Saccharomyces cerevisiae S288C: one gene and its partners. The protein of the gene in region 3 interacts with the protein of the main gene of each other region in a biochemical or structural test. Each region holds a gene or a part of one and is shown on either strand. Other genes may lie near its edges. The genes, in order: CMD1, ERS1, CMK1 and GSF2.

Evidence for each region.
Region 1: the proteins of CMK1 (region 3) and CMD1 form a complex in vitro, tested with the Saccharomyces cerevisiae proteins (2 studies listed by BioGRID, with this or other methods).
Region 2: the proteins of CMK1 (region 3) and ERS1 form a complex in vitro, tested with the Saccharomyces cerevisiae proteins (2 studies listed by BioGRID, with this or other methods).
Region 4: the proteins of CMK1 (region 3) and GSF2 form a complex in vitro, tested with the Saccharomyces cerevisiae proteins (2 studies listed by BioGRID, with this or other methods).

Annotation. Positions count from the first base shown.
Region 1 is NC_001134.8:454,464-460,126, forward strand, and holds CMD1 (calmodulin), read right to left. Parts: upstream 3,900-5,663; coding exon 3,456-3,899; downstream 1-3,455. Other genes in the region: IML3 (Iml3p), read right to left, coding at 1-67; AIM3 (Aim3p), read left to right, coding at 359-3,202; ALG1 (chitobiosyldiphosphodolichol beta-1,4 mannosyltransferase), read left to right, coding at 4,409-5,663.
Region 2 is NC_001135.5:242,828-250,787, forward strand, and holds ERS1 (cystinosin-like protein ERS1), read right to left. Parts: upstream 5,989-7,960; coding exon 5,206-5,988; downstream 1-5,205. Other genes in the region: mitogen-activated protein kinase kinase kinase SSK22, read right to left, coding at 1-3,756; SOL2 (Sol2p), read left to right, coding at 4,136-5,083; EGO2 (Ego2p), read left to right, coding at 6,148-6,375; FUB1 (Fub1p), read right to left, coding at 6,466-7,218; deadenylation-dependent mRNA-decapping factor PAT1, read right to left, coding at 7,411-7,960. UniProt on the Saccharomyces cerevisiae protein: Cystine/H(+) symporter that mediates export of cystine, the oxidized dimer of cysteine, from vacuoles/endodomes.
Region 3 is NC_001138.5:168,061-175,829, reverse strand, and holds CMK1 (calmodulin-dependent protein kinase CMK1), read left to right. Parts: upstream 1-1,952; coding exon 1,953-3,293; downstream 3,294-7,769. Other genes in the region: glycogen (starch) synthase GSY1, read left to right, coding at 1-1,565; IOC3 (Ioc3p), read right to left, coding at 3,545-5,908; YFR012W-A (uncharacterized protein), read right to left, coding at 6,520-6,606; DCV1 (Dcv1p), read right to left, coding at 7,334-7,769.
Region 4 is NC_001145.3:174,126-182,467, forward strand, and holds GSF2 (Gsf2p), read left to right. Parts: upstream 1-4,300; coding exon 4,301-5,512; downstream 5,513-8,342. Other genes in the region: U2 snRNP complex subunit RSE1, read right to left, coding at 95-4,180; pheromone-regulated K(+) transporter PRM6, read right to left, coding at 5,892-6,950; PRP39 (Prp39p), read left to right, coding at 7,349-8,342. UniProt on the Saccharomyces cerevisiae protein: May be involved in the secretion of hexose transporters from the endoplasmic reticulum. Involved in secretion of GAL2 and HXT1.

The DNA of each region.
Region 1 (5,663 bases), on a different chromosome or scaffold from region 3:
ACTTTGCTATACCATTTTCCAGTGAAAGTTGCTTGCTGATTCCTAAAAACTTCCAAGTATAAGGCATTCCATCCAAAGGAAGTACGTTGATACCTATAGACAATCAAATCAACCATGCAGTCGACCAGATCATCCCACTATGGTTGTTGTCTATTTCATATCGGTGTCGGCATTTTTTTTTCCCGTAGTACCACTGGATCTGCCTAAATCGCGCTTCAGGAAAACCAGGGACCACCCTATTTTTTTATATTTCATCATCTAAATTAAGTGTATACATATATGGATAAAGTCATTTTGAGTTTACATAATCGTATGTTCGAGAGAGGTCTTTCATAAAAAAATCAAGTTATCAACCAGCATGGGATTTTGGGAGAACAACAAAGATTCCATCACTTCAGGGCTGAAGAGCGCCGGTAAATATGGTTACCAAGGAACAAAGTACGTTGCCAAGACAGGGTATAAGGCAAGTAAGAAGCACTATAACAACAGCAAAGCGCGTAGGGAAAGGAAGAGTGGTAAGAAAAATTCAAGTGATGAGGAGTATGATAGCGAAGATGAGATGGAGTACGAAAGAAAGCCGACCGATATAAGAAGTTTAAAAGACCCAAAGTCCTTTCCTCCCCCACCTTTGAAACCTGGACAAAAAACTTATACAGGACAACAGCAACAGCAAATGCCAAATGGTCAGGCCAGTTATGCTTTTCAGGGTGCATACCAAGGCCAACCTGGCGCAGGATCGACGGAACAGTCACAATACGCACAACCACAGTATAATCAGTATCCACAACAGCAGCTGCAACAAGGTGTAATGCCACAGCAACAGCAGCTGCAACAAGGTGTAGTGCCACAGCAGCCGCCTATATATGGAGAGCAAGTACCACCGTATGGGTCAAATTCTAATGCAACCAGCTACCAGTCGCTGCCGCAACAAAATCAACCCCAAAATGCAATTCCAAGTCAGGTATCTCTGAACTCTGCTTCTCAGCAAAGCACAGGGTTTGTCTCGCAAAATCTGCAATATGGTACCCAATCAAGTAATCCGGCACCATCACCGTCTTTCCAGAACGGTCTTCAGTGTCATCAGCAGCCGCAATACGTATCACATGGCTCAACCAATCTCGGACAATCCCAATTTCCATCGGGCCAACAGCAGCAGCCCACGACACAGTTTGGCCAGCAAGTTTTACCATCACCTGCACAACCACAACAGCAACAACAAGGGCAACCATTACCGCCCCCGCGCGGTCAAGTGATCTTGCCAGCGCCCGGAGAGCCTCTGTCAAATGGCTTTGGGCAACAGCAACAGCAACAGCAACAGCAACAGCAGCCTCTGAACCAAAACAACGCTTTGTTGCCACAAATGAACGTGGAAGGAGTTTCTGGGATGGCTGCGGTTCAGCCTGTCTATGGCCAAGCCATGTCAAGTACTACAAACATGCAAGATTCGAACCCCAGCTATGGAGCTTCACCCATGCAAGGTCAGCCTCCAGTCGGTGGACAACCGCCTGTGCCTGTAAGAATGCAGCCACAGCCACCGCAACCAATGCAACAGGGAAACATCTATCCGATTGAGCCTTCTCTTGATTCTACTGGCTCAACCCCACATTTTGAAGTTACTCCATTTGACCCAGACGCACCTGCTCCGAAGCCCAAAATCGATATTCCCACTGTAGACGTTAGTAGCCTTCCACCACCTCCCACTCATAGGGATAGAGGAGCAGTTGTACACCAGGAACCTGCGCCAAGTGGGAAAATACAGCCTAACACAACCTCTTCGGCGGCTTCATTGCCAGCAAAGCATTCAAGAACTACTACTGCAGACAATGAAAGGAACTCTGGAAACAAAGAAAACGATGAAAGTACCTCCAAGTCGTCCATTTTAGGACATTATGATGTAGATGTCAACATCATGCCACCTCCAAAACCTTTCAGACATGGACTTGATTCTGTACCTTCTGAGCACACCACGAAGAACGCACCAGAACGGGCAGTGCCAATTCTACCTCCTCGGAACAATGTTGAGCCTCCTCCTCCCCCATCACGAGGCAATTTTGAGAGGACAGAGTCGGTGCTGTCAACGAATGCCGCTAATGTACAGGAGGATCCCATTTCTAATTTTTTACCTCCACCGAAGCCATTTAGACATACTGAAACTAAACAAAATCAGAATAGTAAAGCATCACCTGTAGAAATGAAGGGTGAAGTTTTGCCAGGGCACCCCTCTGAGGAAGATAGAAACGTTGAACCATCGTTGGTACCTCAATCGAAACCGCAATCGCAATCTCAATTCAGAAGAGCTCATATGGAGACACAGCCTATTCAAAACTTCCAGCCACCACCAAAACCATTTAGGCGTTCACAATCGTCCAATTCTAGTGATAGTTCTTATACTATCGACGGACCTGAGGCAAATCATGGGCGTGGGCGTGGGCGTATAGCTAAGCACCATGATGGTGATGAATACAACCCCAAGAGTGAGAATTCTACAGAAAACGGTCGTTTGGGTGATGCCCCCAACAGCTTTATTAGAAAAAGAGCGCCAACCCCTCCGGCCCCATCCAGATCTGAGAAGTTACATGAGGGTACTATAACATCCGAAGTTGATAGTTCAAAAGATGCTAATAAATATGAAAAGTCAATACCTCCTGTAACTTCGTCTATTCAAGCGCAACAGTCTACGAAGAAGGCGCCTCCTCCTGTTGTAAAGCCAAAACCTAGAAATTTTTCTTTAAAGGCCAATGAATATCCCAAGGAACTTACTAGGGAAGCAACTGGACAAGATGAAGTTTTAAACTCCATTACCAATGAGTTGTCGCATATCAAATTAAGAAAAACAAACGTTAATTTGGAAAAGTTAGGCGGTTCGAAAAAAGTGAAGGACTCTAGCCCTGTTCCCTCAGATCTAGATGAAAAATATGTGTCTGCATCGGGGTCTATTACTCCACCAAGGCCTCCACCTTCTAGGTCTAGTCCAAAGAAAGTGCCGCCTGTTGTCCCAAAAAAGAATGATAACCTGAAGAAAAAGCCACCAGTGGTCCCAAAGAAAAAGCCATTACTAAAATCGCTCGAACCAAGACCTATTGAAATGGAGAGGGCCTATTCGGGAGATATTTCTGCTGCTGACGATAACTTAAATCCTTTTGAAAGATACAAACGAAATGTTGTTCCTCAAGAAGATGACAGACTGCATAAATTAAAATAATGAAATAGCTACGCAACATTGAACTTAATACTGGCTAAATTTAGTTATCCGCCTTGGTAAACAATCCGTATCCTTTATTTAAACTGTCTTCTCAGGAACATTACTTATCTACATAAATAACATTAACCCTGTCTACGTACAGTATATATTTGCGTGTGGTTGTCAAACTTTAGATGAAACGATACTCAACGAATACTATAAAACCAGAATGGTAAGGGTAAGATAGCGGGAGCAAAAAATCACAAGGATGCACCTATTTAGATAACAAAGCAGCGAATTGTTGAATGTTGATCTCGCCTGATCCATCACTAACCTCTCTTAGCATATCATCTACTTCGGCATCAGTCAATTTTTCACCAATGGATGTTAGCACGTGTTTCAACTCAGCGGCGGAGATTAAACCATCACCGTTCTTATCGAATACTTTAAAAGCTTCTAGTAGTTCTTGTTCAGAGTCATTTGATTTGAGTTGACGAGACATCAGAGCCAAAAATTCACTAAATTCGATTTGATGGTTACCATCAACATCTATTTCGTTCATCAAATCATTTACTTCTGCTTCACTGGGCGAAAGACCCAATGACCTCATCACAGTGGCCAATTCACTTGATGAGATAGAGCCATTGTTATCTTTATCAAAGAGGGCAAAGGCTTCTTTGAATTCAGCAATTTGTTCTTCGGTAAGATTGGAGGACATTGTACTTTTTTATTTGTATTAACTAAGCTCTTTCTTTGTAGTTCGATAGTTTCCGGTCAAGAATAAGATTTCTATCCAGTCAGAGTACCCTTGTGAGTTAACAAGATCTCTTGTTAAACACCTTCTTACGCGGGCAATAAAAAATTCTAAGAATAAAGTCATATCACAGTACACGAAAATATAAATACATCTTGAAAATGTCTCAAATTGGGTGGAAAAGAGGGTGCTTGAATTCATTAGGACATATGGTTGATGTTCTCAGGTTCTACTTATGTTTGCTTTGTCGATTTTTGCATGCTTTGACTGTGACTTTCCTGTCTGATATCTTTGTATGGCTTGTTGCTAAAACAAGGTCAATCCAAGCAGTGATCATCTTGCACGTTGCTTCAATAGAACGCGCATATAGCAATCATCAAGTTAATTGGTCATATATCTTTCAATCAGCAATTAGCAAAGCCATTAGAGGGTAATTGTAACGGCATTTTAGGGGCTATAGTCAATTGGTGAAAATGTTTTTGGAAATTCCTCGGTGGTTACTTGCCTTAATAATATTATACCTTTCCATACCGTTAGTGGTTTATTATGTTATACCCTACTTGTTTTATGGCAACAAGTCGACCAAAAAAAGGATCATCATATTTGTGCTGGGTGATGTAGGACACTCTCCAAGGATATGCTATCACGCTATAAGTTTCAGTAAGTTAGGTTGGCAAGTCGAGCTATGCGGTTATGTGGAGGACACTCTACCCAAAATTATTTCCAGTGATCCAAATATCACCGTCCATCATATGTCAAACTTGAAAAGAAAGGGAGGCGGAACATCAGTTATATTTATGGTAAAGAAGGTGCTTTTTCAAGTTTTAAGTATTTTCAAATTACTTTGGGAATTGAGAGGAAGCGATTACATACTAGTTCAAAATCCACCGAGCATACCCATTCTTCCGATTGCTGTGCTATACAAGTTGACCGGTTGTAAACTAATTATTGATTGGCACAATCTAGCATATTCGATATTGCAACTAAAATTTAAAGGAAACTTTTACCATCCTTTAGTGTTGATATCTTACATGGTAGAGATGATATTCAGCAAATTTGCTGATTATAACTTGACTGTTACTGAAGCAATGAGGAAATATTTAATTCAAAGCTTTCACTTGAATCCAAAGAGATGTGCTGTTCTCTACGACCGCCCGGCTTCCCAATTTCAACCTTTGGCAGGTGACATTTCTCGTCAAAAAGCCCTAACTACCAAAGCCTTTATAAAGAATTATATTCGCGATGATTTTGATACAGAAAAAGGCGATAAAATTATTGTGACTTCAACATCATTCACCCCTGATGAAGATATTGGTATTTTATTAGGTGCCCTAAAGATTTACGAAAACTCTTATGTCAAATTTGATTCAAGTTTGCCTAAGATCTTGTGTTTTATAACGGGTAAAGGACCACTAAAGGAGAAATATATGAAGCAAGTAGAAGAATATGACTGGAAGCGCTGTCAAATCGAATTTGTGTGGTTGTCAGCAGAGGATTACCCAAAGTTATTACAATTATGCGATTACGGAGTTTCCCTGCATACTTCAAGTTCAGGGTTGGACCTGCCAATGAAAATTTTAGATATGTTTGGCTCAGGTCTTCCTGTTATTGCAATGAACTATCCAGTGCTTGACGAATTAGTACAACACAATGTAAATGGGTTAAAATTTGTTGATAGAAGGGAGCTTCATGAATCTCTGATTTTTGCTATGAAAGATGCTGATTTAT
Region 2 (7,960 bases), on a different chromosome or scaffold from region 3:
CCAAGGTCGTCTACCTGTGGCCATTTCTAGCACAACACATCCTAATGCCCATACATCGTCCGCTCCAAGTTTTCCCTTAACTGCCGAGCCTGAAATAGTCTCTGGAGCCATATACATCGGTGTCCCCATCATTTCATTGAGGGACTTTGTTTCTACTCCAAAATCTTGAACGGCTGCGTTCCGCACAGTTCTAGTCCTAGATCCTACAACGGTACGTGCCGTACCAAAATCCACATATTTTATGATTCCATTGAAATCCAGCAAGATATTCTCCGGTTTAATGTCGCGATGCACCACGCCAGATTGGTGCAAATATGCCAAACCTTCTAATAGTTCGAATGTGTACACTTGTGTTACCATTTCATCTTCAATTCTTCCATGATCCAATAACGAGGCTAAAGAACCACCCTCACAGTATTCCATGAAGATGTTAACTTTATCGCGATGTACTTCGACACCATAGTACTGGACAATATTAGGATGGTTTAACATTTCCAATACGGTCATCTCTTCTTTAATCAGGGGAAAAATCTTCTTCATTGTTGTGGTATCGTGTATCTTTATTTCCTTAACAGCTAAGATTTCACCGTTTTCCAGATTAATTGCAGAGTATACCTGTCCAAATGTTCCACCGCCAATGAAGCTTCTTTTTTGCCACCTCATTGATACATTCGATAATGAGGATGCTAGCGATAGTAGGTATTTGTTTCCCTGATCTGTAGCATCCAATACCTTACCCATTTGCCTGGGATTCCTCTTCATAGTCTTTTCCAACGTCTTTATAGCTTCCAGTCTCAACCTGCTGTTTATTTCTAGGGTGGCCTCTTCATCAATATTCTCTTCAGTATCAATATTCAATCTTGCCTGTTGCATGCCATTTTCAGCTTCAGTGGCTCGTGCACCCATAACGTCGAAATGTGAAATTAATAATGACATACATACTGATACCCTCTCCTTCAGTTCTTGAAATTGCTTTACATTCAGCGCCAGGATATTATAACCACTAGTCATCTGCATCGCAAAATCCATTGCAAGAACGCACCATCGGAAAGTTCGCTGATCGGTAGGATCACACTCTTCAACAAGGAATTTCAACCAGTTCATTCCTAATTTAACCATCAGAAAGATGATAACGTACTTCCTCTTTGAGCTAAAGGCGTTATATTTAAGGAAACTTCTTCCAAAATCCCTTCCAAACATGAATATCGAATTTAACAACTCATTTCCCGGACATTGCTTCATAAAGCTACCTAGAATTCCTTTGTAGTTGTTCAATACTGTATAAGTAAGTTTGTAATATGCCTTATTGATTTTTTGTAGGGAGGATTCAATTGAATTGAGTGAACAACGTTTCTCTATGAATGAAACAGAATCACCTACCGTTTGATTAAACTTGTCGATTTGATAAGTCAGTGCATAATTAGAACCTTGATTGAGTAAAATCAACGTATTTGGGTTACCAATTTTCCCTAAATCCATTTCGTTGGATGCAAAAAGGTTGTTACCTGGAAGCTTATATACTGGTCCATCCCAAACTACTGGCTCTCCAGGATATAGTACAACTAGTGCACCCAATGAGCTCAAAGCAACTTCCAATTCAAAAACTTCATTGTTCTTTTCATCAAGGTGCTGATCAAAAGGGTCTGTTGAAAAATTCTTCTTTTTGGACTGATGAGCATGCCTGTCCAAATCACTTGACGAATTTGCTACTACTCGGTAGTAAGGAATTCCTTTGGAATCCTCCCCTTTCGATACTAGAATGTTCAAATCTGTTTCTTTTGTTGTTATATCATACACATTCAAATTATTTCCAATGTCAAGCTTTGGGACCAAATCACAGCCAATGGATTTATTTCGCAAAATTCTTAAGATGGTATCATTGTCACAACCTAATAATTCAGGAGCAGCAAACATATATACACCACTAGACTCAAAAGTGTTACCGGAGTATACCAAAAAATAGTGAGCATCTTTTAACTTTTTAACAAGTTGTGCATTATGATTAATCTGATAAACAGCAGAATTTTGGAACGCCTTGACTAGAATATTGCTGAACCTGTTCAGCTTTCTTTTCATGGCACCCAAATTTTCGAAAATGGAACTTAGCCATTTTTCTGCTTCTGAAGCGTTAGCAAATGTTGGTGGGAAGTTTTGTTGTTTCAAAAGATAGAATTGCAATTTATGTACGAGTCTCAAAGTTAACTTGAGAAATTCATTTGGAATCACGGTTTCTGCACCGTTAATATAGTGACCGGTGTTTTTTAGGTGATCCCAGTATTTCAAGAGTAGATCGGGTGCTTTGAAATTTTGTTTACTGGAATCAATCAACTTTAAATTCAACAGAAAAAATAAATAACGAATGGCTTCTATTACAGTATTTTCGAACGTCGGGTCAAAATCCACATCGAACGGCAAATTGGAGCAATATTTTGTCAGTGTGTACTTCAATTGCACAGAAAGTCGAATAAAAGCGTTAAAATCATCGATCATTTGATCGATCATCATCATTGTTGGATTTTTAAGCTTTCGTGCATATGACAATCTAGTCAAAATAACTTCTTTGATTAAATAGACGGGGAACGCCAGTAGTGATCTTAACCTTTCATAAGGATATTTTATGTTCATCTTTGTCAAAGTTTCTCTGTAGACTATAAAATGTAGTTTCAGTTTGAACATCCAAGGTGATAGCGGATAGAAAATTTTTTTTTGGAATATAGACTCGATGTTCTTTTCCTTCATCAATTGTTCTGCAAGAATCTTCATTTTGCAGTTCCATTGGGGCACACCATCAAAATCCTCTTGGCAATTATCCGAACTACTTATCGGTGAGAAACGGTTTATCCAGTCGTCCAACTCTTGCCTCCTCAACGTTAAGTTCGTTTTAAAGTTCAGCCAAGAATTCATTACGTCTATTCTAGCGGTAAATTCTGCAGTATTGGTGATTGGTTTATCCTTATACATTTTTTTCAAGTTAGGCCAATAAGAGACAACGCTGTGATATCTGTTCATGAGGTCTTGTAAGATGGCCTCCAGTGCATCCAGGCTCAATATCTTGCCCTGTGGAATTTGAAACTTCATTATCTCTTCAAAAACGGAATCTGAACTATCTCTTAAATATGTAAGCGACTGTTCCATCTCTTGCATGGTCCTCCCATTCAGCCATGCCTTCAATTCGAGCCATATCTCATCTGAGAGCTCCTTATTTAACCCTGGTTTCTTGACTTGGTTAGCAATCCTCGTCTTTTCACCTTTAACAATATCTCCCTTCAGCACTCTGGCCAGCATTGACTGCCATTTGAACCGTTCGGTCGCAATTTCATTCCAAGCTAGTTCATCACTGTCTGACCTCATTTTCCTGCAATAAGGTGTAGTGGAGAAAAACTTGACACCTGAGTGCAGGTCTTCATCAATTCTGTCGCCATTAGACAACCGAATAATTTCGTCATCACCGTCGTCTTCCTCGTAGCGGTTAGTGAGTTTTATGCCCCTCGTGTAGTAGTCATCTAAAGCGGTCTTTTTTAGCTTTTTCAAGTATAGCGATTCATTGAAAACGTATCGGTCCTTAAAAGTCAGCTGACTGGGGCCGTCGCTTATTGTTTCCGAGCCACCCAATGCTTTCAAATCAGATCTTGATAGTTTATGGCTGGAATGACTTGATAATCTCTTCACGAGCTTACTTGAGATGGTATGAGGAGCCAGAACTCTCCCGCCTTCAGCCGCTTTTTGTTGCTGTGTATTCAGTATATCCATCATCATTTTCACCTACAAGGAACTACCTTTTATAGCCACCCTAAGTAAAACAACATTAGCTTAGCATCCTCAATTCTTATCGTATGTTGTTGCTGCTATTTTTATCCTATTGTTCCTGGCATCGCTTTTTTACATAAGGTACCAAGGCAAGAGAAAAGACCCGCGAAATTTTCAATTCGAGACATAGGGTTAATACGAAATATGTTAAGGTCTAGTTTCCAAAAAATGAAGAAAATGTGATTAGACATCCTGGGGAAATTAGGTTTAAATAGGGCGGGCGCTACAGGGGTTTTCCTAACAAATTTCAATGATAATAGTGGCATCATCATCGTCATATCCAGTGTAGGTATGGACTAGAACAGAAAGCAATTTGCAGCAAGACAATATGACTACGACGGTACCCAAGATATTCGCGTTTCACGAGTTTTCAGACGTGGCAGAGGCCGTAGCTGACCATGTAGTCCACGCGCAAGACGGTGCATTGGCTCCAAAGAACGAGAGGAAACACTCTGTTCCCAACATCAGCATGAATGCACTGGATATGACGAGAGAGGCCTCTTGCAAAAGCACAGCATCTGCCGCGGAAGGGAAAAGTGGTAGCAGTGGTAGTGGCAGTGGTAGCAGTAAGCCCAAAAAGGAGAAACGGTTCAAGATTGCTCTCTCCGGTGGGTCATTGATCGAAGTGCTACACGAAGGTCTGCTAAAACGAGACGATGTACGGTGGGGAGACTGGGACATTTACTTTGCAGACGAGAGACTTGTACCCTTCAGCTCGAATGAAAGCAATTATGGATGCGCCAAAAGGAAGATTTTGGACCTGATAGACACGGCGAAGTATGGAACTCCGAAGGTGTACCACATTGACGAGTCATTGATTGACGACCCGCAAGAATGCGCTGATAACTATGAAAAGGTGCTAATCCGCGGGTTTGCCGGTAGAGATTCCGTCAAACTTCCGATGTTCGACTTGTTCCTGCTTGGTTGTGCCCCCGATGGTCATATCGCATCACTCTTCCCTAACTTCCAGGACAATCTACGTGAGAAACTTGCATGGGTGGTGCCCGTGGAGAACGCTCCTAGTGGGCCCTCGACCAGAATTTCGCTGACTATACCTGTAATCTGCCATTCTCACAGGGTTACTTTCGTTGTCGAAGGTGCAACCAAGGCGCCCATCATCAAGACCATTATGGAAAGGCCTGAAAAGGGCCTACCTAGCAGTATTGTCAACGAAGGTGCTGCTGGTCGTGTATCATGGTTTGTTGACGACGATGCTCTTACGGACGTCCTCGTCACCAAAAAAAAGTATAAATTCCACCAAGGTTTGTCTATTTAAACCATGCATGTGTGTACATACATACATACACACATACATACATACATACATATATTTATGTATATTTATGTATATATATATATATATATATATGCGTAATTATGCAGATTTCTCCTTGTGTGCTACAGCGGGTACTCTGACGCCAGATCATGGCCTCGAGATCGATATACAAACCACTGCATGATAAAGATGAAGTTGAATATTAAAGTTACCATTGACAGTCCCACTTTTCCAAAATTTGTCACGAACGTATCCAGACTGAAACCTTGATCGTTAGACAACTGCCAAATCAATTGGAGCAGCGAGGCGATACCGCCAGTGACATCTAGAAACACACCCTGAATGGGGAAACAATCCATAGATTTTCTTGTCGAGTTATGCGTCACTTGTGGGATGTACTTGATTAGTGACATCGATATTTTGAGTAAAAACAAATTGTTGCAATACGCCAGAGTTCTTGAGTTATGCCAATCGTACCAGTAGTTGGAGTACATAAATTGTACGGTTAGCAGTGAAAAAATGGCCAGTGATGCGAGTAAAATCCTTAGGTACCATGGATTCATCTTGCGGTGACCTTTACCTGGAAATCGCCAGATTCTCGCTCCAGCTACCACCTGGGTCAATAAGACAACATTCATCAAGCACCCATGCAGGCAATACCAGAAATCAAATTGCGTCAACTTGGGCCTGCCCAAGTCAGACTCATCACCCGTCATTTTCCAGCAGTACAATTGCAAAAATATGGATATGACCAGGTAAGAGTAACCTGCCGTATTTAACATGACAAAATCCATCGATATCGCGCTCGCTGACTTATGGCGCCAATTGGTGATTATCGGTGGATACATCGATATCGACCATGACGTAACATACACGATACCTAGTATATCGTCTAACGACACCATTTTGCTTCGCGTTTGCTTTTGTTTGCTTTTAGTTTTTCTTCCCTTGTTTACATATGGAAACTCACCTTAAAATTTCAAGATTATCAAAAAATATAAAGGATTCCGCTATTAAAGGGCAATACCACAACCTCAAACCAAATCACCTAAACCAAATCAAAGATGGAAGCGGAAAAACAATCTGATATTAAGGGAACCATTGCTTTCGATACTCACGGTAACGTTATAGAGTCTACCGGCGTGGGCAGTCAAAGGATCGAAGATATCGGTGATTTATCGAAAGTTACGCTGGATGCAGAAGGTTTTGCTCAAGTTCAAGGAGATTCGCTACTCGTACACCTGTACAAACGCAATGATATCACTTTAGCTGTATATACCAGCGCTCAATAAATTCTTTCCTTCCCTTTCGACATAGCTATGTCTGTATACTATCTAAAAACTAAATATCACAATAAACAAAGTACTAAAATAAACACCCATTTAAATAAAGCCAGATCCTGACCCTCCAAATCCGCCGGATCCTGAACCTCCAAATCCGCCAGATCCAGGACCAAATGGTTCGTCGTACTTGGATCCAGGCATCCATCCTGGCGGCATATCTTCCCGTCTTGGGGCAGGTCTTCTATTTGGATCGAAAATCATACCGCCTTGGCTACTTGGATTCCCCAGAGGATTGGGAAGCCCTCCAGACCAATCCGGATGGCTTGTGCCAACAGGATACAGATCACCATCCGCATACCCTCCTGCTGGGTTAGCGAAGCTCGGTTCAGTTACCGTAAGTCCGGGATATGGGTTCAACGGTGCTGTTCCCTGGTTTTGTCTTGCTTGTGCCTGGTACTCATCGTCAAATTTTGGCATGTCCGCACTACCTGCAGTTTGTCTTTTAAGTTGTGTCATTATAGGTTTCAGGTCTGGCTCCACAGGTAAGCTTTCTCTTTCTAGTGGCCATTTCAATTCTGTGGGCAATTTAAAATCGCTGTAACCCACCACACATGCCATGGTGATCGACGTACCATGACGAATAACAACAGTATACTTGTCATTGTCATCCAGAGTCTGAATCACCACTAGCTCAGAGAGAAACGATGTTGAACCCTTCTCACTGGGAGAATCTTTAATGCGAAAACTCACTTGGCATGATTTGGTTCCCTCTGTATGGCGTGACACCACCTCAGTTTTACCGATGGACTCCAACACTAGTTCTGCTACCAGTTCAACCTTATTCTCAATCATTGTTTAACTCTTGCGTTACTATGGTGGTATTATTGATGCTAATACGGGTTTTTTATGAAAAAAAAAGGATAACAAACTTATATAAACTTATATAAAAACATATACAATAAATGATCTACAAAGGGTAGGAAATAAAAAATAAGGGAGAAAAAAAAATACATGCGTAAGTACATTAAAATTACAGGAAAAATCTTACTTTAGTTCTGATATTTCACCATCGCGATACACCAACCCCATAACGTTTAGGAACAAATTCAAATCTTGGTATAGTTTCTCTTTATTATAAATAATAGATTTTAACTCTGTGTCTAATTCTTGAGACCTCTGAGGTAATACACTCAATTCTTTCTCTTTCTTTTGTAAGGTCTCCGCCTCGTTAATAGTGGCAAAGATTTCATCACGTACTTCATCAATAATGATTCTCTGGTGGTTTAGCTTTCCACTTAGTGCTAAACTAGCTAGGAACTGCCAAATGTATGCTTCATCCATAAACTTGTCATTTTGTAAACGCATGATGTGGTCGTTATATTCCCTTGGAGGGAAAATCAGCTGAATCTTACTTTCCAATGAAGTGAATAATTTATCATAAATCTCATTCCATGTGGAGATTTCAGGAGAGGAAAGAATATTAGATCTTGATGAATCTTGCTTGATTAATGCGGCACGAGAAATCAAAATGGTGATCAAATTTAGACCAATTTTGGAGGTGGTCAAGAACGAAACGTTGTTGTTTCTGATTAAC
Region 3 (7,769 bases):
CGATTTTCACCACGCACGCAACTTTATTGGGTAGATACTTGTGTGCCGCTGGTGATGTAGATTTTTATAACAATCTACAGTATTTTGATGTGGACCAAGAAGCTGGTAAGAGAGGCATATATCATAGGTACTGCATTGAGCGCGCTGCGGCTCATACTGCCGATGTTTTTACGACTGTGTCGCAAATCACTGCATTAGAAGCGGAGCATTTGTTGAAGAGGAAACCGGATGGCATTTTGCCCAATGGTTTGAACGTTGTTAAGTTTCAAGCAGTACATGAATTTCAAAATCTGCATGCCCTGAAAAAGGACAAAATTAATGATTTCGTCAGAGGCCATTTCCATGGTTGTTTTGATTTCGATCTAGACAACACAGTTTATTTCTTTATCGCTGGTAGATATGAATACAAAAACAAAGGTGCTGACATGTTCATTGAATCATTGGCTCGTCTCAATTACAGATTGAAGGTTTCTGGATCCAAGAAGACGGTGGTAGCGTTTTTGATCATGCCTGCCAAAACCAATTCCTTCACTGTGGAGGCACTGAAAAGCCAAGCCATTGTAAAATCTTTGGAAAATACTGTTAATGAGGTCACCGCATCCATTGGGAAGAGAATTTTCGAGCATACGATGAGATACCCTCATAATGGCCTAGAATCAGAGTTGCCCACTAATTTAGATGAGCTGTTGAAGAGTTCTGAAAAGGTTTTGCTGAAGAAAAGGGTATTGGCGCTGAGAAGACCTTACGGGGAATTGCCTCCGGTAGTCACACATAACATGTGCGATGATGCTAACGATCCAATTTTAAACCAAATTAGACATGTTAGATTATTCAATGATTCGAGTGATCGTGTAAAAGTGATTTTCCATCCTGAATTCTTAAACGCCAATAACCCTATCCTTGGTTTGGATTATGACGAGTTTGTTCGCGGCTGTCACTTGGGTGTTTTTCCATCCTATTACGAACCATGGGGGTACACGCCAGCAGAATGTACCGTCATGGGTGTCCCATCTATCACAACAAACGTTTCTGGGTTCGGTGCCTACATGGAAGACTTGATTGAAACAGACCAAGCGAAAGACTATGGTATTTATATTGTAGACCGTCGTTTCAAGAGCCCTGATGAATCTGTCGAGCAATTAGCAGACTACATGGAAGAGTTTGTAAACAAGACCAGAAGACAAAGAATCAACCAAAGAAACAGAACCGAAAGACTATCAGACTTGTTAGATTGGAAGAGAATGGGGTTGGAATACGTTAAGGCTAGACAGTTGGGTCTTCGTAGGGCCTATCCAGAGCAGTTCAAGCAACTGGTGGGTGAAACAATTAGTGACGCCAATATGAATACTCTTGCCGGTGGCAAGAAATTCAAGATTGCCAGGCCTTTGAGTGTACCCGGATCCCCCAAAGTAAGGTCCAATAGTACTGTTTACATGACTCCGGGCGATTTAGGTACCCTTCAAGATGCTAATAATGCAGATGACTATTTTAATTTGAGCACGAATGGAGCCATCGACAATGACGATGATGACAACGATACGTCTGCATACTACGAGGATAATTAAAACCATCTTAACTTCTGCTAACATATCTTACTCTTTTAGCTGAGCATCAAATTAATTTTAGTATTGCACGTTCTGTTATTCTTGTATAAGTACATAGAAATAATAGCAGTAGAAAAAATAGAAGTAATTTTACCTTTACAGTACATATGTGTTAGTATAAGGAACCTTTTACGTGGGATACTTTGCTTACGAAGAAAAGGCTGAAAAAAAAAAAAAAAGAAACTCCCCCCGCGTTTAGAATGGTGCAGCCGAGCTACCTACGCAGGGGATAAAAAGAACGAAAGCCACATCGACTACAAGCCAGAGTATAAATGGTTTCAATTCTCGTAGAGAACTCACAATTATATAATATTGGAAGACACCAGAAAAAATAACGAGTCAATTACTATGGACGACAAAGTTTCAGAAAAGGAGAGCTCCCCAAAACAAACAGAGGAGGATTCTGAAGGTAAAATGGCACATGTGCAGCCTGCTTCGTACGTGAATAAAAAAAAATATGTTTTTGGGAAGACATTAGGTGCTGGTACATTTGGTGTGGTGAGACAAGCCAAAAACACTGAAACAGGGGAGGACGTGGCCGTTAAAATCCTGATCAAGAAAGCACTAAAGGGAAACAAGGTTCAGCTAGAGGCTTTATACGACGAGTTAGACATTTTACAAAGACTGCATCATCCAAATATAGTGGCATTTAAGGATTGGTTTGAATCAAAAGACAAGTTCTACATTATCACGCAATTAGCCAAAGGGGGTGAATTGTTCGATAGGATTTTGAAGAAGGGTAAGTTCACTGAGGAAGATGCAGTGAGAATTTTGGTTGAAATATTGAGCGCAGTCAAATATATGCATTCTCAGAATATTGTTCATAGGGACTTGAAACCGGAAAATTTACTGTATATAGATAAAAGTGACGAATCTCCACTGGTAGTTGCTGATTTTGGTATCGCAAAGAGATTGAAAAGTGATGAGGAACTCCTCTATAAGCCGGCAGGCTCACTGGGTTACGTGGCTCCAGAGGTACTTACTCAGGACGGTCATGGTAAACCTTGCGACATTTGGTCGATAGGTGTCATTACGTATACTTTGCTTTGCGGTTATTCGGCGTTTAGAGCCGAAAGGGTTCAAGATTTCCTTGACGAATGCACAACTGGTGAGTATCCAGTGAAGTTTCATAGGCCTTATTGGGATTCCGTTTCCAATAAAGCAAAACAATTCATCTTGAAGGCTCTTAATTTGGATCCTTCAAAGAGACCGACCGCCGCAGAACTCTTGGAAGATCCATGGATTATTTGTACCGAATTGAAGACGCACAATTTATTGCCTGGGTTAAAGGAAGGATTGGATGCTCGTCAAAAGTTCCGTAATTCTGTTGAGAGAGTCAGATTAAACATGAAGATCCAGAAATTAAGAGATCTGTATCTTGAACAGACAGAGAGTGATTCAGATTTTGACGAAGGAAGTCAAGCAAACGGTTCAGTTCCTCCATTGAAAGCAACGGATACCAGTCAACTATCCAAGAAGCTATCAGAAGAAGAACAGTCTAAGTTGAAGTCCGAGTTAACCAGCAAAGCTTTTGCACAATTAGTTAACACAGTGCTTGCCGAAAAGGAAAAATTTTTAAATATTAACAGAGTCTGTAGTTCTGATAGCGATCTTCCTGGGAGTGATATAAAGTCTTTGGATGAGGCGAAGGAGAAACCAGAGGGGAAGGATACCAAAACAGAAGAATGATAACAGTATGCCGTTTTACCACACTGGCGAATAAATCTTCAATGACTTTGTAAGCTCGAATATGCGCAAGATTTGACTTTGATATTTTGCACTTTTTCGTCCTCACTTTCTACCTTTTTTTTTTATGCCTTAGTTGAAAAGATACGCGTATCTAATTATGTACTAATAGTCTTAATTTTACATTACTTAATTAATCGAAATGCAGCCTGTAAGGAGTTTCACAATCTTCACGTTCGTTGAAAGCTAGTTGTCTAAGTGCGCTGCCTTTTAACTCTACCATCATCAAAAGAAGAATCATTGTCGTTGTCATCATAAATATCAGCTTCGTCGTCTTCTTCATCATCGACATATTCCTCGCTATCATATTCCGTATTATAGTTTACAGTCTGTCGCTGTATCCTTCTCAACTGTCTCTTGCCTGGCTTCATGTCTGCAAATTGCACTTTCATTTGTTCAAACTGACGAAGAATGAAATAGTAATCAGATAAAAATTCCTTTAATATCTGTAACTTCTTTCTCGCAGTGTTATATTTTGCGTCTTTTGGTAGCGGGTTTGTATTTATGGAGGGATTATTATCAGTGGTAGATTTCTGCTCCAATATGTGCGCTTCATTATTCAGTGCTTCTTTTTCTTTTTCATTTCCCTCCTTTTTCTCATCTTGAGGTTTAACAATTTTATAGTCCAAGAACTCCAAGAACTCCAGCAGTGTTGCTGAATCGTGGCATAATTCATACCAATAAACCTTCCCCGATGTATTTCTGCCTCGTGCAACATCATGCGCCAACGATGGTGTGTCATGGTAAAACAATTTGAATTGGGCACTCATCGATTGTCCATCATTTTCAAACAGTGTAAAAGCGTTGTATTCATTATTTTTGAATTTCGATAGCAATGCTTGTAGATTTCTCAAATCAGTGAAGGTGCTCATTTCGAGTGAGTCCCCATAACTGTGTAATCTTGGCATATAAAAATCACCTATATGGGGAACTCTACCAAGGAAGAACTCTTGTAATCGCAATTTATAAAGTCTTTCCGAAAAAGGATTGGCTAATGGTTGATCAGGTAATTCGCCTTCAAACAATGGGACCCACTTGTCGTACAGTGAGAACAAAAGTTCATCCTTTTCGGATTTTACAGCGTTCTTCAATTCCGCTTTAATTTCCTTCAGTATTTCTAGCTTCCTTGATAAATCTGGTTTTTTACCCTCTTTTAGTTGTTTAACAAAATGTTTTTTCTTACTTCTGATTTCATATCTTGATTGAATTAGTGAGCAGAGTTTTTTAAACTGATTTATGGTATTATCTACCCCTTCAATTGTATACCTAGGCACTTGTTGTGTTTGGATGCCAAAAACGGGATCTTTTTTACCATGAGTTAATTTGTATATCTCGTCATGAATAGCAGATGAATGGGAAGCGCACCAGTCAGTTAACGCCCTCAATAAAACAACGCGATCCATTGGTTTGAGCGCCAAAATTCCATTCTTGTCCATTTCTCGATTATACAAAGGATTTGATTCCAATGGGAGTGGTTCATTAGCATTCCAGGTATATATATTTGGCGTTAAAATTTCTGGATGACTGGGATCCACCACTGGTGTTTGTTCATCTTGTTCAAAAAGAGCAGTTTTAGGTTTGGAGATATCTTGGTCACTGGGGAGTTGTTGACGCCATTCTCGTGGATACCCCCATTCGCGAGCTACAAGTCTTAACCGATAAAGAGGATTGGAAAATACTTTCTTGGAGGACGATTTTAGATTCTCCCAGGTTGTTAATGGACCTTTCTTCTTGGCACTTTTACCATCAAAATTTTCAGTAAATGTTAAATCTAACAAGGATAGGAACAGTAAATTCATTTTGTCTTGGCAATAGACGATATCCTTGATGGCCATAAAATCAGGATATAGCAATAAGGAGGTGTCTTCAGGACCCTTCACTATACCAGCTGCGCTTCCATTAGGATCGCCGGGATACAAATCTAAACCGACCTCAAAATCTTGGAATGATAAATTTTGTAGGTCAGAATGGAAAAAAGAACTAAACTTATTTATGAACGCCATCAGCTTAATGATATCTCCAGCATATGGCACAGGCTTCATGTTCGGATTTTTTAACCTAGAGATGACACTATACTGGTTCTTGAAATCAGAAGTAAGCAAGGGTATTACAGAAGTCCAATTGCTAGGGATCAAAGCGGGTTCTACTTGTTCATGGGCTGGTTTAGGTTTCGGCGCCACTTTTTTGTCATTAGTCTTCAGTGTAGGTTTGCCATCCTTAGCAATTGAGGTAGTCTTCTTTTTCTCTACTTTATCATTTGATTTAGAGTTCTGTGTGGAAGGTGCCTTTTTCTTAGGAGGAGCAGGTCTCTTCCTCTTGGGTTTATTCGCCCTTTCCTTTAACTCTTCCTCGTATTCATCATAAATGCTCGTTCTTGGCTTAGGAACACGTCTTGATCTCCTTAAATTATCAGAAGATTGTGAAACACTAACACTTTGATCGGTTTGTAAGGGCATAGCCATTGATACGCGATCATGATCATGGTCAGCAAGCTGTGCGGAAGAGCTGCCCTGGGCTTCTTGCTGCAAATTCTGGATAGAATTGGATGGAGAATCCATAAACAATAGGGGATTGCAAACTTTGCTTGAAGTACTTGGTAAGTGATAGTTTTGTTGGCCGAAACCAATGTGGAAGATATCACCATCTTAAGAAATTAAGTCCATTCATTAGTATAAACTCACGTAATTTCAATGAATTTGTTAAAGTTTCAGCAAATCGTGAAGCACGATATTTCACTTTTATGATCCGAGAGGGAATATTACTAGTACTTCCACGCATAAGGAAAGTCAATGTTAACAAATACCGCCATACCGCCATACCTGTCCTCTGTAGTCACTGCTAATGTTAATGTAAATAAATTACATCTAAAAGTTGTTTTCTCTTCAGTAATTTTAGAAACCGTTAAGAGGAAAAATGGGCACTTCCTTTCTTTGTTTCAGAAATTAAGCTCAAAAAGATGGGCTCGATAAAAGTAGCATACTATTTACTCTATCTTATTTTTATTTTCTATATACTAGTCTATCAGACTCAGACGTCAACGATGTGGAATACGGATGGAATCATTAAATAGTAGCAAGAAGTACTTTATTCTTATTTTTCAAATTGCGGCGCGCCAACAAAACGCGTACAAAAAAAGCAGATTGGATAGTACTTTATTCTTGTTATTTTGTCATTGGAAAGTATAAGCTGGTTGTGGATTACTCTTCACACGATGTGCCTGTTTTTTGTAGGCGGGCTTGTACTTTCTGGGGAGCATGCTGTGTATGTTGTAGGTCTGTGGCAATGTTTGTCGGGAGTGTTCGCTGTTACCATGAGTTGTCTGTGAGTAGTAGCGATTGTAATTGTGGTTGTATCCTACTGGTCTTCTTCGGGAATACCAAGGAATGAAAGAGTTATGAGGAACCTCACTTTGATCCTGGTAATTATTTGGTTGTTGTAGTTGATATTGGCGGGGCTCTGTGAGACAATGATTTTTTTTTGAATATATTTTAAAGCAATCGGCTGATTGGGTAGCCTCAACGCCAAATAACCAAGGAGGGTCGTAGTTATCTTGTGAATGGCTTGAGATTCCCTCATAATATAAAATATTTGCCTTTTTTTTTTCAGTAGGCATTTCCACATTTTCTTGCTTTGCAGGTAAGTCGGTTATATTGATTTCATCCAAAGATAAGGATTTTTGATTTTCAACATGCCTTCTAGAAAATATTTGTTTACCATTCAACTTTGGAGCGAAGAAACTCACCAAACCTGCTTGCTTCAATGGAGATTTGATTTCAGGCGGTGGTTCATCTTGATTTGTTACCGCCAGTTTATCTTGATTGGGATCTAAGGTCCTTGGTAGATCATTAAAAAGACTTGTGATGTCATACACAGATTGGTCTGTGCCCTTAGTTGTTTGTGGATAATTTTCGCCAAGGGAACTTGATGTTTGACTCGTTCCATATAGTTTGAGAATACTGTCTACGTTCTCTATACTAGCTTCTTTAGCTATGTTTTCTGTCTGACTGCGCAGACGTATCAAACCTAAAACTGAGAAAATGCACGCCAATAACGAGCAGAGGGAACAGGGAACAGTTAGCCAGCCACACCAAGTCGTATAAGGATGAAATTGTAACAGGATCACGGTGCATGCAAAGTAACAGGATCACGGTGCATGCAAAAATAGTTGATAAAAGTGTCAATATGTGTAATATAGCGTTGGAAGTAATAAGTGAGACATTAGTTCCTCCAGTCTGAAAAAGAAAAATAATAACCAAGGGAAGTGCAAAAGAAATGAAAGTCAAACATGTAGCAACCGGTATCGAAATCAAAAGTCCTCCTATTGTATGTCTTGCCTTAGGACTCAGCCACCAACGTTCAAGAGAAGGGCCAGGTAATATTTCTTTCGAGGTGTTATATATTAAACGTACTCGAGAGCAG
Region 4 (8,342 bases), on a different chromosome or scaffold from region 3:
TTATATTTAAAGCTATCATATATTCCTTGTACATATATTTATTAAGAAAATACATTAACACGCCTTTATACTTGGTATTATTACTGTAAAATCATTACATGTAATTTGTTCTGACTTCGTTGATTGTTTGAATTATATCCTCCACTTGTACACTCTTTAAATTTTTGGCCAAAAATTCCTGCTCATTCAAGGAAAGTCTCAGGAAATTTTCACATAAATCACCATCAATAACTTTACGTACAGGGGCATAATAGCTTCTGTATTCTTGGTGGTCTCTACCTAAAATGGAACAGGAACCCTCACATATTATTTCATCCTCTATACCATGCCGTCCTTGTAACACAACACTTCCAGATTCCTCTTCATCGTCTTCCTTACGCATATTGTTATTCTTCTTTCTTGATTCATAATCTAAATAAAACGTATCATCCGCCTCAGCCATTATATTCTCAATGTTTCCCATCATAAAAACATTCCCCTTGGATAATAAGGGGATAAAGCATCCCACGGTTCCTTGTAAGCCCATATAGATACAACCAGGTCTATCAGAATTTGAAAGGCTGTCCAGGATATGGAAATCAGTGATGATATCATTAACAAAGAAGTGGTTCAGTAGTTGAAACTTGAACTTGCAATCATAAGTATTGGGTAATTTCTGCTGTAAAGTGATGACGTCTAGTGGGTACTTGATGGCCCCATTAGATAATTCGCTGGGATCATGATTTGACATGATTTTTTCGCACTCTGGTGGAGACCTTAAAGTCCACGCATTTCCATATCTATCAGCGCCTATAACAGTTGCCTCATCTAGAAATTTCAATACCGTCACATGGCGTTTTACAGAGTCATCTACGTACGGAATAAATACATTCCCCGCAGGATCCCAGATAAATAAAGTGACAGATTCATGTATATCACCAACGGCCAGTCTTTCATAATTCCACTGGTGCATAGACACAATTTTTGTTATGGATACCGGGGTCTGTGTTACGGACCTTCTTAATAATTGCTTTTTCCCCAAACCATAAAGGACAATAGTGGAGCCCATGGCTGTCAGCAAGAAGTTTTTAAACTTCAACATAGCATGTATTGGTGAAATGATTTCTGTTTGGTGAAGTAATTCAATATCAAAAGATAGTTTATCTTTGTTAACTAATATCTTGTATGTTAACAGCCTTTTGTCGCCAGCACAAATGATCAAATGATCAGCTTGTCTTGTGAAATCTATTATAGCAGCGGAAACGCAATCGATATCGTCCAGTATCTTGTATAAATGATCCGAACTGCCAAACTTTAAGCATTCACCATCAATTTGCAGTGATATACGGCATTGTTTCTTACCACTGTGATTATCAATAAACAAAATGCTTTTCGGATTATTGGGAAATGATAAAATAGTACGAGGTCGGAATGTAGATATTTGTAACATTTCCATTTCTTCTTCCATTTCATCTTCTTCCTCTTCATTGCTTTCATCTCCTCCACCGTTCTCTTGCTTGTTAACACTTGATTCATGAACGTGAAACCAGTTATCCAAAGTTGGAAAGTTGGAAACTCTGCCAATATTTAAGCGTCCTGAGCTCGATATTGAACAAACACCGTTGATTGCAACATCTGCGTTAACAAATTTGGAACAACTTAGCATGTTTTGATCCTTTAACTGCCGTATGGTCCACACATTTTTCCACGTGTAGCTTACCCATGTAGAAGAGGAATGGCAAACCACGCATGACATCCATTTAGCTCCACTACTATTTATTTCTTCTTCTTCTTTTTCATCATCATCGTCTTCTTCTTCTTCTTCTTCTTCCTCATTATTTAGTGATACAGATATCTCACGCAAATACGAAAGGGAAACAGGCTTCAAGCCAAGGAATCGCCTTTTTATGTCAGTGAACGATCCGTCAACATCCCCTATATGAAATTTCATGTAAACGCCATTTTCTAAACCTACATGCAAATTAAGCTGTCCTATTGAGGAATCTCTAACCATTATCATGTCAGAAATCTTTTCACTAACTAATTGCAAACTTATTACAGTTAAAAAATCTTCCTTTTGGTCTTTAAGAGACATTATTTTGATCATACCCTCATTGTCAGCAATGGCTAATAAATCAGCATGCTGCGTATCTTGCACAATCGCAACTTTAGAGGGCATTGTGTCCAATTCTGGGTGGGTGGTTAATTCGATTAACGAATCCGAAGATACATCTATCTTGAAATAAACCAATTCGTAATTTGATAATGATATAATTAGTTGTGTTTTCGAGGACGTGGCACATACAATACGAATTCCCGCTGGTGGCACCCAAGTCAGCTTATTAGAATACCTAGATTTACCAGTCGGTACGATATGTCTTAGTTCTGCGGTGCATACTTGGATAATAGAGTGTGAGCCCATTAGGCATGTATGAATTGTTGTGTCCTGAGAGAGCTTGAAAGCTGAACGCGTTGCTTCATCCGGTGTTAGTTCCTCCATGGACTCGTTGTCAATTTGTAGTATCATAGTTTTCTTGGGAAAAGTTATGAACAAAAGAGTATTGTTATCGCCGGTTGTTGCAGGATCGGGTATTAGCCATAACTTGGTTGCGTTCGGGGGTAAACTAGTAGATATCAAATTAGAGTAATTCACAGCATTTGTTAAAGTTATTATCTTGTTGTTTGTAAAATGTTTAGTGGCGATAGACAGTGGCGAATCACTGACAATTTGAGATTTTATTGAAGGGTTCAAATTCAATTGTTGCGATAATATGCTCAAATTCTGCAACTTTATGGATGGTTCGAAAACTAGCGACTTATTTGGATCTTTTGAGGTTAAAACATTAGAAAAATCATTTTTCTCTACACCAAGTTTCTCAAACTGGAAAAGAAAGTTGTTATTCATTTCAGATAGTGCAAAAAGATAACCGTTTTTGAAAATGTGTAATTGGTGTGAATTTTGGATTGTATCAAAGTAGGACAATTGAACTAAAGGTCTATTTCTATCATTAGTGTCTGGACTTACAGTTAACTTAAAAAGATCGCCATGGTTAGATTGTAAAAGTACGAAAAAATCATTTTTCAATTTCTGCACTATGCCTGATATGATTGTTACATTTTTATGACGGCTATTTGTGATAGATCTTTTGGGTATTTCCACTTTCAGGCTGAAAAATCCGTTCATATCCTTTACCAGAATATGATTTTCGAAGCCTATGACAACAAAAGGGTTGAAAAGGGTATCATAGTCAGCATCATAGTTGTTGTCGCTTAGCGAAGTTGTTATATTATATCGCGATAGATCTGGCAAACTCAGTACGAAATTGGCAGATGGGTTAACTAAATAATCTGCCTTCTTGACGATGTGATTCAAACCCAACTCGAGGACATAAAATATCAAGTGTACTGATAGTTGAGTAGCGGCATTGTCGATTTCTAAGGTAACAAAACATGGATTATTGAAATTTACATCAACAACTGCCATATCCAGCGTTACCATATGGGGTCTGATGATTTCCAATGGAGACGAAATCCTCAATTTTTGAGCATAATCAACGAGGAAACACAATTTATTTTGTTCGACAGATGAGAGAATGATACAACGCCCATTAGGGTCAATTTCCATGTATGATATGGGAGAGACTCTTCGAAGGGTGGTCCTCGTCAATGGCTGGTTCACTAAAGTCTTAAGTCTAAGAGCACCTGCATGCATAATGATTTGCACGATACTTAGGTTACCAGAATCGGAAGTTAGCGCTAGAAAAGTGGGCCAGTTGGAAGCTTTTGCCCTTGACCCTGAATGCGGCAGATCCAGCGACTTCATCGAGGTTATCGTCGCAAACAGGTTTTGAAACTTGGCAATAAGCTTTAGTTCCCCATCTGCAGTATCATAAAGTTCTAAATGCGTCTCAGTAGCTACGCACAATTGCGACTGCTCACGCTTGGACCCTGCTTCCAGATCGACGAAGTGTCCGATGCAGGAGTGCACGAAATTCGTCTGTTTCTTTAAAGTAAGATGGTACAAGTATAGCTCATCATCTTTAGCAACCATTGTTATGTTATGGTCACTCCTTGTTCTTCTTTCAGCCTCTCGTTTTAAACCGTCATAAGCCATCGTTGTGCTAGCTTGCCCAAATAGTTTACGCATCTTCGCCGTGTGGGGCGACAAGCTTACTACTGCCATTTTGCCACCTCCCCACATTTAATGATGGAAAATATTATAAAAAAGCGAGAAAAGAAGCTAATGGTGCCATTGTTTTCCTTTTTAGAGAGGGGCAGCAGAGATCGGTGGACTTTGTTTTGATAGAGGGCGATTGCAAGCATGGAGATTTACATTAGACTTAACGCAGATGTCGAGCACGACTATGCGTTTCAGGTGTCAAATGAAGACACCATAAATAACAAAATTAAGAAGATTTTCCCTTCCAAGACGGGTTTGGCGGACTTAATGGTGCTGAGACCATCAATTTTCCATGAGAAGGAGCCCGTAAAGTTCTATAAGTCTATCCATCCAGGGTACCTGTCCGAAGGTGGTTGTTTGATGTTCCATTATGAAGCTGATAACGAAGAAAATCTCGAGGAGTTGAATGACTCCAAGCCGCTTATTGACCAGTTGTGGCCTGGTCAGCTAGTTGTTCCGGAGTGGAAGCTATCCAAGAAAAACATATGGGTATACACCATTATTATGTTGGCCTGGCTATATACCGATTTGCCCGACGCCATTTCTCCAACCCCAGGTATTTGTTTGACTAATCAATTGTCTAGACTATTGATTCCTGTAGCCAAGCACATGGATTTACCTGAAATTGCCGCTAAACTCGAACAAGAAGTTCAGGCAAACTATTCTAGTCTCGTAGCTCAATGGCTTTTCTTTGTCATGCACATTTTCAAAGTGGGCATAATTACTTTATTCCTCAAATTAGGCATTGCCAACCCCATCAGCTTCAATCCTTACAAGTTATGGAGTTTGAGAGATTTAACTTCTCCTTCTGCTAACGGCGCTAAGAATTCTGGCGGCAATAACAACACTACTGACTTAAAGACACGTTTGCGCTCTCTGGGCTGGATTGGTGCTAAGAGAGCTACTTACGACGATTACCAGACTAACTATTACAACTATGTCATAGATAAGATGGGTGGTGCAGTTGCTGCTTATAGAGCGGGCGCGATTAGGAAAGCTGCAGCACCAGGTATCCAACTTGTGGCTGGAGAGGGTTTCCAAAGTCCTCTAGAAGATAGGTTCACTGCTTCCACTTTCACGGCTATTAAAACCGAACGGAAATTCATTTTAAGTGAAGAATACTTTGTGGAGCTGGAAAACAATCTAAAGAAGATCTTGGAAGAGTATGACGGGGATATTGGTAAGATGAATGCTGAAATTAGGAGGTTTAGAAGGTTTGGTATTTATGAACCAGATGAAAAACTGGCCTCGCTAGTTAAGCTCAGAAGAGAAATTGCTGATGAGAAAGAGAAAGCATCAAACAATGATGCTACTTTTGGTATAAAAAAGAATGATTTGAAAAAATCTAATTAATTGTAAAACCAAAACACTACCATCCAGACTTTTTTTTTATTCAACCATAGCCTTTAACTACTACTACTACTACTAGTACTACTACTATTACTATTACTATTACTACTACTAGAGGGCCTTTTTTTACTCCTAGTATTTTTGTACTATCCTATTTACTCTCGTTGTTTTTATTAGTTTTTTCACTCTTTTTTTCAATTCCTCACGAATCTACTGTTTTCGTAGTGCTTTTTTTTGTTTCATTGTTTATAGCCATCAATGGTTTTTGTTACTATCATTATCATTATAAATATTTCATACAATATATACAATATATATACAATAAATGAGAATCGATTTACTTTTAATGCATTTTTGCAGTCAAAAAAAGCTTCGTTTACATTTATATGTATTTATGTTTGTATTTCTGGGGGAAATATGCCTTTATGGGCGTATATACTCTTTCGTACGTTTCTACATCCGAGTAGCAGTAGTAACTCGGTATTGTGCTTTCGTCGCCATAATCAGGACTATCATAATCGAATTTTTTTTGCGTTTTGTTGTCACCACATATGGTCCCTTCTTCCTCATCATCTATCAATATTCCCAATTCGTAGACAGTTCTACTTAAATTCTCGTCAATGACTTTAGACACATACTTTCGTAGTTTCAATTCATACCCCTTAACCTTCCTTTTACTAGACAAAAATCTCGGACGTATAAAAATGATGAATATTATTATGCTTAGAATTAATTTGCTTATTAAAATTACCCATATGATAAACGAGAACAACATGAAGGACAAGATCACACTTTCTTCGTAATTTGTCTTAGCAATATGTTTTATCTTGTTTATTATTCCATTTAGGTCATCTAAATTACCTAGGCTTTGAGTACTATGGGTTCCGCTACTGGTCTCATTCGAAACTGTCAGTAAAACTGACCACAAAGTTAATCCGTTGATTATTTGCCTTGGAGAGTCACCGAACAATAGCCTCAAACATCCACTGATTTCAAAATATGAAAAGAATAACCACTTACTGAATTTTTTCTCATCAGTCAGCACTATTAGTTCGAAAATTTGATACTTTTTGAAATTGAACAAGCAATTTATTAATCTGCTAATGCCATTCATGTAGTTCGATGTAATCTCTTTCTTCCTATACACTCTCAATCCAATTACCAACTCCCAAATTAATATTAATGAGGAGCATAATATGCATCCGCTAAACAACCATTTTGAAATACGGAATTCCAAGAATGGTTGGATGATATTGTTCGACCATGTGTTAAATGCCAGTAATTTAATACACGTGTATATATCAGAAAAAAACATGGCCACATGTAGTATCGACTGACACCAGGTGTATAGAATATACTGTAATTTTGTGGTCCACTTCGCAGTAGGAATAAGATTTATGTCAATATCCTGGAATTTCAATTTTTGTAAACTTGATTCCATTATTTAGCGCTTTGTTGTCATTTTCCTTTCCCTCTTAGACAATGTGGTAAAAAATGCCAGCTCCAGGGCTTTCAATTAATCCATTATTGATTTTTAATCTGGAGGTTTGAGCATGGCTGAATAATTTATATACAAATATCTTTTTTTATTGTTTCAGATCATTCGTTTTCAGTATGATTTACTATCATTCATTTTCTTTTTCTTTACCATTTTACGTCGCCGTCGCACATCTTAAAACAAATTTAATACAGAGTTGAAAGTTTCAGACTTAAACAGAATTTACGCAAGAAAGTTTTCAAAGTCCTAAAGTAAAAACGCGCCTTCCACAGCCATTTCTTTGTTCAACAAAAAGTTTTGGCCCTTACTGCTATTGGATACTTGGCAATCCGTCTTTCGTTATGCCAGATGAAACAAATTTTACAATAGAAGATATTGAGCCTAGGCCTGATGCCCTTCGAGGTTTGGACACCCAGTTCCTTCAAGACAACACAGCATTAGTACAAGCATATCGTGGTTTAGACTGGTCAGATATTTCTTCGTTGACCCAAATGGTAGATGTTATAGAGCAAACAGTGGTTAAATATGGCAATCCAAATGATTCAATCAAATTGGCCTTGGAAACTATTTTATGGCAAATATTGCGTAAGTACCCTTTATTGTTTGGATTTTGGAAGAGGTTTGCTACTATTGAGTACCAGTTATTTGGTCTCAAGAAATCGATTGCTGTTCTGGCCACCTCGGTCAAATGGTTCCCAACTTCTCTGGAGTTATGGTGTGATTATTTGAATGTGTTGTGTGTTAATAACCCGAACGAAACGGATTTTATTAGGAATAATTTTGAAATTGCAAAGGATCTTATTGGCAAGCAGTTTCTATCACACCCTTTTTGGGACAAGTTTATAGAATTTGAAGTTGGGCAGAAGAATTGGCATAACGTTCAAAGAATATACGAGTACATTATTGAAGTTCCTCTACATCAGTATGCGCGGTTTTTCACATCTTACAAGAAGTTTTTAAATGAAAAAAATTTGAAGACAACAAGGAATATTGATATAGTTTTACGAAAAACACAAACAACAGTAAATGAAATTTGGCAGTTCGAATCGAAAATCAAACAGCCCTTCTTCAACCTGGGCCAAGTGTTAAATGATGATTTGGAAAATTGGTCGCGATATTTAAAATTTGTGACGGATCCTTCAAAATCCTTGGATAAAGAATTCGTAATGTCCGTTTTTGACAGATGTTTGATTCCTTGTCTTTACCATGAAAATACGTGGATGATGTATATTAAGTGGCTAACAAAGAAAAATATATCCGATGAAGTGGTAGTGGATATATACCAAAAAGCCAATACGTTCTTACCACTGGATTTCAAAACTTTGAGGTATGATT